Linked DNA regions of Ovis aries. The protein of the gene in region 1 purifies or fractionates together with the protein of each later gene. This does not show direct contact. Links are inferred from orthologs where the notes say so. Each region holds a gene or a part of one and is shown in the gene's direction. Other genes may lie near its edges.

Region 1 (3,500 bases):
CCCACAAGCTATGCAGCACAGCCAAATAAGCAAGCAAATAAATAAATCATGTCAAACAATAAATAAAAGTATCTTTCGCTGCCTTTCAAAATTTAAAACATAAATATCATGCTGTACTTGCTGGCTTGTGGCCAAGACATTTTCAGTAGTAAAGCTGAATATTTAAGCATCCTGCCTGTCCACATTTAAGTGTCTGGCTATACTGCTGAGGATATTTGTGGTTTGTTTTCTCAAACTTGGACAATTGCAAAGTTTTATTTAGAGACTAGTGAGCACAGAGATGTCTATTACTGTGCAGTCTTTATGTGTTATACATTTCACATAATTATAATCATTGAATTCATCCTGCTTTTATAGTTTTCTGTTGAAAGTGAAAAAAAGTCACTCAGCCCTGTCCAACTCTTTGTGGCACCGTGGACTGTAGCCCACCAGACTCCTCTGTCCTCGGTATTTTCCAGGCAAGAATACTGAAATGGGTAGTCATTCCCTTCTCCAGGGGATCTTCCCAACCCAGGGATCAAACCCAGGTTTTCTGCACTGCAGGCAGAGTCTTTACCTTCTAAGCCACCAGGGGAGCCCATATTTTTCTGTCAACTCGTCAAATACTATTCCATGTTTCTCTTATAATTTTGTTTTCTTAACTGTTCCTCTTATTTGGAGTCTCAGGTTTTTACTGTAATTTATGCTACTTTGGTATTGCTTTACCATGCCTCATAAATCTTGTTATTGTATTAAATTGTAAAGAAAGGATAGATACAGGAAGACTTGAATAATATGGATCTATTTAGAGAGAGACCGTAAAGGTGAAGCAGGAAGTGGTTGGAGGGGTTGAGATCTGGTGCTTCTTGTCTTTTGAGGTCTCTTGCAGTTTGTGCTAATGTGCTCATTTATTTTTCTCCCTGTAAATCTTGGTTTCTATGATTTTTTTCCATAAAAGGCTTCTTAAATTTTGAGAACCCAGTATACATTTGACACTTCATAGGTATTAGGGATATAAGCAGAACAAAGTAATGTAGTGCAGAAATCTCCCAAATTGTTTGATTGTATACAGTATCAGCCCTAACTTAATTGGTGGGGAATCTACCTATAATGAGGGAGACACAGGTTCAATCACTGGGTTGGGAAGATCCTCTCAAGAAGGAAATGTCAACCCACTCCAGTATTCTTGCCTTGAGAACCCCATGGACAGAGGAGCCTGGCGGACTACAGTCCCTGGGGTCGCAGGAGCCAGACACGACTTAGCAACTAAACCACTACTACCATACTGTATCAGCAGCATGTTTGAATACAGACCCCATAGGAATAAATTTCATTAAGGACATTTATACATTTCATATTTATAAATTTTATGTGCACTTTTTTCAGTCTCAGGAGGCTCCCCTGGTAGCTCAGCTGGTAAAGAATCCACCAGCAGTATAGGAGACCCCGGTTTGATTCCTGGATCAGGAAAATCCCCTGGAGAAGGGATAGGCTTCCCACTCCAGTATTCTTGGGCTTCCCTGGTAGCTCAGCTGGTAAAGAATTCGCCTGCAGTGCGGGAGACCTGTGTTTGATCCTTGGGTTGGGAAGATCCCCTGGAGAAGGGAGCGACTACCCGCTCCATTATTCTGGCCTGGAGAATTCCATGACGGTATAGTCTACAGTGTTGGCTGCGAGTGAGCGACTTTCACTTTCTTCTCAGTCTACTATGTATTAATTATTTGTGAAACTTCATCTCTTTTTTATATTAAATACAAATATAGTCAGGTATATAGAGACTTATAAGCATTTCTGTTGTTGACCATAAAGACCATAATAATAGCTTCTGCTTTAAACCAGCTTATTCTTTATTAATATAGTTCCAGGTGCTCCTTCAGCTCCAAGGAGAGGGCGTGGGGGTCATCGAGGTGGCAGAGGAAGATTTGGTATTCGACGAGATGGTCCAATGAAATTTGAGAAAGATTTTGACTTTGAAAGTGCAAATGCACAATTTAACAAGGAGGAAATTGACAGAGAGTTTCATAATAAACTTAAATTGAAAGGTGAGTTTTTATTTTTCTCCTCAGAGAATACTCTTTTCTGACCATGTGAATTATGGATATTTAGGCCACATCTTGACTTATATGGTATGTACCTTTTTTTTTTTTTCATTAGAAGATAAACTTGAGAAGCAGGAGAAGCCTGTCAATGGTGAAGATAAAGGAGACTCAGGAGTTGATACCCAGAACAGTGAAGGAAATGCAGATGAAGAAGATCCACTTGGACCTAATTGCTATTATGACAAAACTAAATCCTTCTTTGATAATATTTCTTGTGATGATAATAGGTACAGTCTTTTAAGCTGCTGTTATGCAATTAGGAGGTTGAAGTGTGAAGTGATTCCTGATAAATTCACAAAGTGTAATGAATACTTAAAAGTCCCTAGGGACTTCCCTGATGGTCCAGTGGTTAAGGATCCATGCTTCCCAGTGGGCATGGATTTGATCCCTGGATAAGATCCCACTTGCTGTGTGGTGCAACCCCCCAAAAAAATCTAATAACTACAATTTTTTAATATTTTGATAAAAGAAGATAACTAATACTAAAATTTTAAATGATACTACTTTTGGAAAAGAAGAAATAATCATCTATTTTTGTTTGGGGGTGCATTCACATTCGAAAATTAGTAATTAAAAAAATAGAAGCATTCGTCTAACATCTAAATACCTTTTACTTTATCCCTCTACAGTGTAGGTCAGTTGAAGTTTGCTGATGTAGTAAAACTCTGCTCTATTGCAGTAAATATGAATCCAGAAAACTGGTTGGTTAGAGGACTCAGCACAACAAAGTTGCGGTTTCTGCTGCCTGGCTCAGGCCTGCCTTCTGTTGCATTTTGGTGCCACCCAGTGGTGGTTGTCTGCTTCAGTTTAAACATGGATGGCGATGGTGCTGAATCTGATTGGGCTGTCGGCCAGCAGCAGTGATTCAGAAGCTTTAGGCATCAGGTCCAGAGGTTAGACCAGGAGCCTAGTAGGATCTAGGGAATCAACCCTTTATCCCCTCCCATCCTGAGGCAGGGTTTCCTTTCCCTTTCTTCCTTTGAGGCTGATTGGAGGGTAGAGTCAACTACCAATCCCATTTTTTGAAGCTCTCCAGTTTCTTTGTATCATCAGCTGCATTTGCAATAAACAGTACCAGTCAGACTTTCACTTGAAGTGTAACAGAATATAGTAGGACCATATTGCCATGGATAGCTTGTGATGACTTAGATGAGGTACTTTTGTAGGTTTTTTTGTTGTCTTTTGTGATTTTTTTTGATGCTTAGGAATTATTTAGCCTCAGTTTGGAAATTAAGTGCCTCATAGTCTTGCTGGCAAATGTTCTTTAAAAGTTGATACACTACCAAAAAAAAAAAAAAAACTTGATATACTAAAGATTATTTGTCCTCATAATAGAGAGCGGAGACCAACCTGGGCTGAAGAGAGAAGATTAAATGCAGAAACATTTGGAATCCCGCTTCGTCCAAACCGTGGCCGTGGAGG
Region 2 (4,220 bases), on another chromosome or scaffold:
CTCAGGCCACGCAAGAGACCAGGTGTTAAGTGTTCCAGCCAATAGCTTCATTGGTTCCAGCTGACAGCCACCAGCAACCGTCAACCACGTTAGTGAGCAATTTGATGTTCCTAGTGCCCAACCTTACAGCTGAAGCCGAAGGGAGCAGAGACCAGCTGTCCCAGCTAGAACCACCCCAAATTGCAGATTTGGTGTAAAGTAAATGTTGATTTAAGCCACTGAATTCTGGGACTGTTTGTTAAACAGCAAAAGATAACCAGAAGTGTTTTTAATGTCATCTCTAATTCCCACTAAAAGCCTGAAAAGTAGGTACTGCTGTTTCTTTTTGATAGATGAGTAAACAGGTTCCAAAGGTGAAGTAACTATGGTTTCGCACTGTCAGGGCCAGGATTTAAGAGCTTCAAAAAAAAAATAGGCCTCCACTTCTCCATAGTGGCTTGCGGATAGAAGACTTTGTAAAGAACACATTTTACCCAGTATAACAGACAAAAATAAAAAGTTTTCATAATTGTTTTCTCTGCTGCCAAGACTCAGGACGGGAACTCAAGAGCTCACTCACTGCCCAATGGGCTGATTTCACAAGTGAAGCTTAAAGAAAGCAGGCTCATTGAAAGATATGTAGATTTCGCTATCCTTCCACGAGAAAAATGACGTTTCCCTCCACAGTCACGTATCATTTCATGGTCCCACGAGGCAGAAACGGGCTCGTGAAATTCCTGCAGACCGGGCTCACACGCGATCCCCGTTAAACCTTTCCTCCCAGCACGGCAGTTACTCTCATTGCTCACAGAGGAGGGGAATCATATTGATATTTTTGCCTCTTTGTGGCCCTTGTCTGCCGGTCCCAGCACTACGTACTAAGCGCTTGACATCTGCAATCTCATTTTCAGCCAAAAGCACTTGCACTTCCCCTTCCCGTGCAGACTAAGGAAAGATTCAGGTTACGGGGCGGGAAAGAACATTTCAATGAATGTGTCAGTCGCCCGTAGCTCATTCAAAAGCAACCGTGGCAGTTTTATTAACACAGCAACGCGTAATCTCGCTTATTCCTCATACACATAGATCATTGCAGTAAGAAGAGCGGAACTCAGTCAGAGCTTTGCCCAACATCACACCACCAGTTAAAAAAAAAAAAAGTCGAGGTTCGAACACACTCCGGAAGGCTCCACGCTCCCAGGTTCGCCTAACACAGAATCCCGCTCCCGAAGCCTCAGGGTTCTCCGCCGAGAACGGATCGTGCAAACGCAGCAGCCGCCGCGTTCCCAGGTTGCGGCCCCCAACCCACTTCCCGGCCCCGGCTGCCTTCCTCGGACGGCCGCCGGGCGGTGACGGAGGGCTCCAAGCTCCGCCCGTCCCGTCCTCCCCGGCCGCCCCGCCCCGAAGCGCGCGTGGGAACGCGGCGTCCTCCCCGGGGCTGCCCGCGACGACTGCCTGCGCGCATCCGGGAGGGCTCTCCCGGCGCCCGGCCCGGTCTCCACCCGCCGCCGCGATCGCCTCCCGGCCTCCGCCTCCCCGCCGCCGGGCGCACGCAGGGGCCGGCGCCCTGGGAGCGCGCCGCCGTGCTCCCCTTTTCCGGCCGGCACCGCCGCGGACACCTCACATCCGGGCGCGCGGCGGCGAAGGCGGTGCTGGGGCCCGGGTGCGTGGAGGGAGTTATTAAGGGGGAGGGGGCCGGGGAGGAGGGGCGGAGGGCTGGGCCGCGGTTACGGCGGCTGAAGGGAGACAGCCGGGGCGGGTGGGGGGGCGAGAGCGAAGGCCGCGCGGAGCAGCGCTCGGGCCGGCGCGGGCGGCGGGGAGGGGAGCGGCGGCCGAGGCAACCAGTAAGGGCCGGGCGGCAGCGGCGGGGTCCGGGGCTCCGCGCGCCTGGGCCCGCGGGGAGAGAAGGGGCGCGGGCGCGCTGAGCCCCGGGGTCGCGTGCGTGAGCGCGAGCGCCGGGGCGCGCGCGGGGGGCGGGCAGGGACCGGAGGCCAGCGGGGCGGCTGGCGGGCAGCGGGCGGGCTGGCGGGGCCCGAGCCGCCGGGCCGGGGCGGACGGCGGCGGGCCTGCGCCGGCTCCAGCTCGGAGCGCCGGGGCTGGGGGATTCGGCCCTCCCGCTCCCTCCGGCCCGCCTCCCCTCAGTGAGTACCGTCCCCGCCCTTCCTCCGAAGGCGGCTGCTGGGCCGGGGCCTGCGCGAGAGGCCGGGGGTTGGGGTCGCGGCCCCTTTGGATCTGAAGCCGGCGCTCGCCCCTTCCTTGGCACGGGCGCCCCTGACATGTCCACAGGTGCGGCGGGCCGGGCGAGGGGAGCTGTGGCCCCGTCCCCAGTCCCCTGCCTCCGGTAACAAGGGGCAGCTGGCGCCGTCCATTGGCAAGTGACAGGCACTTGCCCACTGCGCGACTTCCCCGATCCCAGCCCGTCTCCTACCTGCCCCCACTTCGGGAAACTTCCCCACTACCGCCGGACGGCCCTCACGAGTGGCAGCGACCAGTCTCGGTTTCTTTTTGTATTAAAGCTGCTTAAAGGCTGTCGCCTGATCTGGGCCCGTTCCGCTTCTGCTTTCCTTAGCCTGTTGATGCTTAGAGCTCTTTACGATAAGAGATATCCAAGTACCAGTGGTTTTGTTTCCAGTGGGTTCTGGTTTATAGAAAGGGTTTTTTAAAGGGAGTCCGAGATAATTTCAGTTTCTTAAACAGTGAGGACTCTTAAAAATTTATTGTTCTCGGTGACAGTTTTGTGCTGATTTCTTCCAGGTGCAAAAAACTGTCAACCAAGGAGCCATGGATAGAAGTGTGGGTGAAACAGAAAATGGAGATGCTTTTCTCGACCTGAAGAAGCAACCCGCTTCCAGATCCCCCCATCGCTATACAAAAGTAGGCTTTGTTACTAATGAAATAGTGTTTCTTTATAGGTGAGGAGATTGGTAACATTGTGCAGAAACTTCATTAGTATCGTTTAAAGAGGTAGTCTCATTCTGACTAACTATGTGGACTAAATATTAACTAGACTTAGTAAAACATTGCTTTGAACTTTTTTTCTGAAAGTACAAACACCCAGACTTTAAAATTTGCCCCTAAGTAGGCTTCCACTGAGAAGAAGGCAATGGCATCCCCACTCCGGTACTCTTGCCTGGAAAATCCCATGGAGGAAGGAGCCTGGAAGGCTGCAGTCCATGGGGTCTCTGAGGGTCAGACACGACTGAGCGACTTCCCTTTCACTTTTCACTTTCATGCATTGGAGAAGGAAATGGCAACCCACTCCAGTGTTCTTGCCTGGAGAATCCCAGGGATGGGGGAGCCTGGTGGGCTGCTGTCTCGGGTCGCACAGAGTCGGACACGACTGAAGTGACCTAGCAGCAGCAGCAGGCTTCCACTGAAGGCTGCCCAGATCCTCCCTGTGTGAATTTGTGGATCAGAATATGTTGGCACTTCCCTGGTGACTCAGTGGTACAGAATCTGCCTGCCAACGCAGGAGACCAGGTTTCGATCCCTGAGTGGGAAAGATCCCCTGGAGAAGGAAATGGCAACCCACTCCAGTAATCTTGCCTGGAGAATCCCATGGACAGAGGAGCCTGGCCAGCTACCATCCATGGGGTCGCAAAGAGTCGGACAGGACTTAGCAACTAAACAACAACGAATGTGTTGGCGCACACTTTGTGTAACAGCTGTGCCGCTGACTTACAGGCCGTAGAGGAAGGATTCCAGCTCTGGGATGCCTCACAGACATCAGTGTCCTCTGTGCTGATGTTTCCTTGAGAGCTGAACTCACAGGAGTACTCTGGTATGCTTGCCTGGGGAAACCAGATTTTTAAATTCTTTTTACGTGCTGTTATAAAATGGATATGGACTCAAGAAAGTAAGACTTCGATCATATTTCCCTTAGCTGAAGACTTGTGGTGATTTCAGCTCCTTTAGATGCCTGCTTTTCCTGAGGTGGTCGGGGGAGGAATCACCTCAAGGTCATGTGTTTATCGAAGCTATTGCTCCACTGTCTTGTGGGCTCCTGGCCGTTTCTGAAGCAGTTGATGCGAGCATTGAATTCTTTCCTGGTTCCCCGAAATGTTTTGGGCTGTAGTGCATTAAATGTGCTTGGGACTGCTGGTGGGAAGCGTTATGCCCCAGTTGGGCCTTGTATCTGTTACTTCTCTTGTATGAGCCCAATCAAGGACTCTAATGTGGTGGTTGTCCCAGGCTTCCCAGGATGCTGACTGGTTCGTGTTTTAAACTCGGGCCTTCTGTGTGCG
Region 3 (4,220 bases), about 12 Mb from region 1:
CTGGAGGGGATGTGGAGCACCTAGAACTCTCACGCATCACTGATGGAAATGCAAATTGGTAGAATACCATAGGAAACTTTGGGGCAGTTTCTTATCAAGTTAAACATACACCTAGCATAGGACGCGCAAGCATGTCCTCCTAGCTTGACCCAAGAGAACTGAAAGTGTACATCTACAGAAAGGTTGGGACACGATGGTTTATGGCCTCTTTATTCATAACAGCCCTAATCTGGAAACCACCCACATGTCCACCAAGAGGAAAATGTGATCCAGCAATACAATGGAATACTCCTCAGCAATAAAAAGGGCTGGACAATCGTTATATGAGACATGAACGAATCTTGAAAACATTATGCTGAGAAAAACAAGACAGGCACAAAAGAGCACATACTTTTATTGGAAAATTTAGCAGCTGAAAAGATACACTATAGTAACGAAACAGTGATTGCTTCTGGGGTTGGGTGGGAGGGCGGTGTTGAAAGGGTCGTGAAGGAACTTTCTAGGGTGATGGGATACATTCCCCAAGTAGCAGTTACCTTCATTCAACAAGTAACTTTTTCTACAGGTCGAGGGAAGCTACCTGGAGGAGGTGGCGACTGAGTTATGCCGGGACTGACTCATGAAGGCCAGACGAAGGGGGTGGGTGTTCCAGCATGGGTAGGACTTGGCAAAGGCCAAGTGCTTGAGTGGGGTCACTGGGTTTTAAAAACTTGTAACAATTAAGTAGAGGGCTAAAGATTAAACACCTCGACGCCTGAGTCCCATTTCTGACTTGATTCAGGATCACGGATAAGACCTCTTTGAGCCTCTCACTGCTTCAGTTTTCCATCAGGAAAATGGGCACAAGCTCCCTTATTTCCCGTTGGATTCCCTACAAGCTGGGAGAAGCCACAGAGTGAACGGTGAGTGACAGTTTGTTTGAGCCAATCTCTGGAGCCTAAAGCCTGCTTTCCTTTTTCGTGGGCCAATCGTCACGTTCTCCTTGAGGCCAGCAGCTTGGCGGAGGCAGGCCGAAAGCCTCATGACGTCACATTGCTAATAAACCAATAGCAGCTATTAAGAGGCGGGTACTTTTGGTGATAGTTCTATTTCAAGATGTCCGCTTAGCGCAGGGTCCGCCGGGAAGCTTTGAGGCGGTACGGGAGAAGGGGCGGGAACTCCCAGTAGATTCTGCCCAATCGTCAGTCGCGCTTCTTGCGATAGACGGGCAGTCTTTCCCATCCCCGTCGACTTAAGGGGGCGGGGTTCGGCACGCCAGAGTAGGCGGGCACCTCAGCTTTGATGGGTGTCTCCTTCGCCCAATGGCTAAATGGTATTTCCAGACGGGTCACCTCCTCTACCAATGAGATCTCCTGGCGGGGTCGCGGTGGGCGGGCCGTAGACCCTCCGGTATAAGGCGGTCCCGGGGGAGTGCGGAGAAAGGGGGGGGGTCTCGGCGGCCGGAGGAGGAGTAGACGCGGGTGAAGATGGCGGCAGCCGAAGCCGCGAACTGCATCATGGAGGTGAGCGCCAGGAGCGCCACCGGGGGCGGGGGGCGGTTTGGAAGTCGGTGTTTTACGCCTCCGCCGTGGGGAAGGGGCTCTGAGTCGCCGGATTGGGGTTGAAGGCCCCTGGCCGTACGGAGGGGGGCGCCGCGTGCTCCGTATCCGAGGATACCGTTTGAACTGCGGGTTCCCTAGCTTTCGGGGGCCTGAGGCGCCACGCCGAGCCGAGGGCCTACTGCCCCCTCCCACGTGGAGGAGGGCTGGGGGCGCTTCCGGCCTGGCCCCCACGTGGCCGTGGCACGGTGGGTGGGGAGGGGGTGTGCCGTGCCCGCTTGCCCGGCGGGTTCCACGTGCGGGACAAAGGCCCCGCCCCCGGCCAGGGGAGGGGCGCCCCGGGGGGGGGCGGAGAGGAGGCTCCGACCCTCCCTCCGAGGCCCCCTACCCTCCTCCCCGGGGATCGTGACGGGCACCTCGGGGTGGGGACCTCCGTGCAGTAATGAGGCTCTTGGGAGGGGCAGTGTGCCTCGACCCTTAACAAACCCTTTCCTGGGACCAGGGCATCTGCTTAGGCATCGGTCCAGGTTTCGTGCGCTCTTGCGTTGGGATTGGAGGAAGACGAAGAATTGGTTCCCTCTGGGACCCCTCCTACCCTCCAGTTTCCTGTCTCTGGATTCTCCCCCTCTTTGGGAGCTGGGGGGATGGGGCATGCCCCTGTGACCTCCCTCTGGTCTATGGGGGGGCATCGAGCGGAAGATCTTTCCCGATTAGGCGCTGTGCACCCCCTTGTGGCCATTTCTGGGTGTGTGGGAGGGACATCTTTTTCATGGGGCGTGTCTCCAAGCCCCCCTCCCTGTCGAAGCCCTCCCGGGCGAGGGGAGAGAGAATCTGTCCTGGGAAGGGCTGTGAGGTAGTGGAGGCAGCGGATTTACCTCCTTCTGGCCCTTCCTCTCCCTGGGGTATTTGTGAAGATGGGAGTTGACCACCTCCTCCCTGAACCCGTGTTTGAGGGTCCTGAACCTGCTTGCGTGAAATGGTGTCCCGTGAGGTGTGATTCTCTTGCAGTTATGTGGGGCTTGCCATGATGCTGTGTCTCAAGCGCTCTGGGGGCATGTCTGGCGGTGATGTCGGTGGTGTAGAGAAATGGGCCCTCAGGGGAAGTCCCCTCACCCGCCGTCTTTCCGTATCCGCGTCATTCACTGGTTTGGGGAGGATGGAGGTGGGGCTTGGAGCCCAGGGGTTATGTCTGTGATTTCACGCTTCTTGGCGCCTGGAGAGTGCTTGCATCTGGAAGAGCTGTAATCTGTTGGGCCCTCCGTACTCTCACCTCTTAGCTTGTAGCAGTCTCAGGAATGGGAGGTGAGGTTCCAAGATGCATACCTTGGGGGGCAGCCCCAGGGGTCACTCCAGTGACTCCCCCTTGGCTCTCTGCTAGACGAAGGCCTTCTTGGCTGGAGGAAATATCTTCCTCAGAGGTGGATCCAGGACTCGGCCCCTCCCCTGGGGAGTTTCTGGGCCTGAGATGGTGGTTCGAACGGGGAGTAGATGGGCTTGGGGGTCCAGGGTCTGGCCTCCTCCGTGGAACTCTGCCCTCCTGCGCAGAGGGTCATAATCAGGAGATTGGCACTCCCTTGTTTTGTTTGGGACTCCCTGAGTCCCAGGCAGGAGCTAGCAGCCCGCATGCCAGCTCTGGTGGGGGGTGCCCGTGTGCCACACCTCCTTTCTGGAATCCTCTCAGATGAGAGAGTGCTTTGCAGAGGTGACAGATGCCCAGTGGGTACACCCTGCCAGTTCCCTTCCCCCAGCTCGAATGGTACCCCAGGATGAGGCTTTGTGTCAGGAAGTGTCATCTAATCTGGGGAGATTAGATGGTGAGGGGGAGTGACAGCTGGCAGTGCCCTTGTGCCCGGCGGGTGCCAGTTCCTCTGGCCTGGATGGGGGAGGCGTGTGTGCTCAGGTGCCTGGCCCAACAGGGGCAGTGTGGGGGCAGGCCACCATCTCTCCAGCCACAGCTGGGATAGAACCCCCTCCCTGCTCCCCCACATCTCCCCCACCCCTGTTGAAAACAGCCTTGCCTCTTTACTTGTTCCTTCTCCCACCACTGCTCACAAAGGAAAAGCAAAATTGTAGGAAACACCTCCTTCTTGCCCAAGAGCCCGGGTCGCCTGGCCTGGCCCTCCCCTAGCCGCTCCTGGTAGCTAATCCTTTCTCCCTGTTACTCTCTCCTAGAATTTTGTAGCCACCTTGGCTAATGGGATGAGCCTCCAGCCGCCTCTTGAAGAAGTAAATATCCTTTTGTGAGACCCCTTCCCACATACACATTTCCTCACACGTCACGCCCTTTTTAGTGGTCTAACTGATCCCTCTGGCTTCAAACCACTTTACCCTTGGCCCCCGAAACACTTAGTCCAGACTCCGTCCAGGTTTGGGCCCCCACCTGGCCTCTCCCAATACTGTGGCTACTTCCTTAACTCCATTTACAGCCCCCCACCCCACCTTTGTCCTTCCCTGTGTCTGCCCCGCTTCCGCCTTCCTCTCCCCTCCCTTCCCCAGCTGTGGGCTGAGCTAGAGACGGGGGCAGACAGACTGGAGAGATGGTAGGCCTGGCTGAGGTATCGGGGGTGCCCTCCTGGATGGTGCTCTGGGGGTGGGGGGTTCCTGGGCGAGGCAAGACGGCAGGTGGGGGCTGTAGGGTTGCCATGGTACGGTTTGGGGAGTGGTTCTGTATACTCCATGGGG

Evidence for each region.
Region 2: the proteins of LSM14A (region 1) and EIF4ENIF1 purify together in Homo sapiens (affinity purification with mass spectrometry; 3 studies listed by BioGRID and IntAct, with this or other methods). This does not show direct contact. The link is inferred for Ovis aries from reciprocal best matches to the Homo sapiens genes LSM14A and EIF4ENIF1.
Region 3: the proteins of LSM14A (region 1) and PRMT1 purify together in Homo sapiens (affinity purification with mass spectrometry; 3 studies listed by BioGRID and IntAct, with this or other methods). This does not show direct contact. The link is inferred for Ovis aries from reciprocal best matches to the Homo sapiens genes LSM14A and PRMT1.

Annotation. Positions count from the first base shown.
Region 1 is NC_056067.1:44,136,686-44,140,185, forward strand, and holds part of LSM14A (protein LSM14 homolog A), read left to right. Parts: intron 1-1,838; coding exon 1,839-2,021; intron 2,022-2,133; coding exon 2,134-2,305; intron 2,306-3,413; coding exon 3,414-3,500. UniProt on the Homo sapiens protein: Essential for formation of P-bodies, cytoplasmic structures that provide storage sites for translationally inactive mRNAs and protect them from degradation. Acts as a repressor of mRNA translation. May play a role in mitotic spindle assembly.
Region 2 is NC_056070.1:70,131,064-70,135,283, reverse strand, and holds the start of EIF4ENIF1 (eukaryotic translation initiation factor 4E transporter), read left to right. Parts: upstream 1-1,420; 5' UTR 1,421-1,639; intron 1,640-1,745; exon of another isoform or gene 1,746-1,820; intron 1,821-1,955; exon of another isoform or gene 1,956-2,262; intron 2,263-2,730; 5' UTR 2,731-2,757; coding exon 2,758-2,850; intron 2,851-4,220. UniProt on the Homo sapiens protein: EIF4E-binding protein that regulates translation and stability of mRNAs in processing bodies (P-bodies). Plays a key role in P-bodies to coordinate the storage of translationally inactive mRNAs in the cytoplasm and prevent their degradation.
Region 3 is NC_056067.1:55,810,054-55,814,273, forward strand, and holds the start of PRMT1 (protein arginine N-methyltransferase 1), read left to right. Parts: upstream 1-1,420; 5' UTR 1,421-1,466; coding exon 1,467-1,502; exon of another isoform or gene 1,503-2,514; coding exon of another isoform or gene 2,515-2,529; intron 2,530-2,709; exon of another isoform or gene 2,710-2,840; intron 2,841-3,708; exon of another isoform or gene 3,709-3,710; coding exon 3,711-3,764; exon of another isoform or gene 3,765-3,768; intron 3,769-3,962; exon of another isoform or gene 3,963-4,075; coding exon of another isoform or gene 4,076-4,078; intron 4,079-4,220. UniProt on the Homo sapiens protein: Arginine methyltransferase that methylates (mono and asymmetric dimethylation) the guanidino nitrogens of arginyl residues present in proteins such as ESR1, histone H2, H3 and H4, FMR1, ILF3, HNRNPA1, HNRNPD, NFATC2IP, SUPT5H, TAF15, EWS, HABP4, SERBP1, RBM15, FOXO1, CHTOP, MAP3K5/ASK1, MICU1 and NPRL2.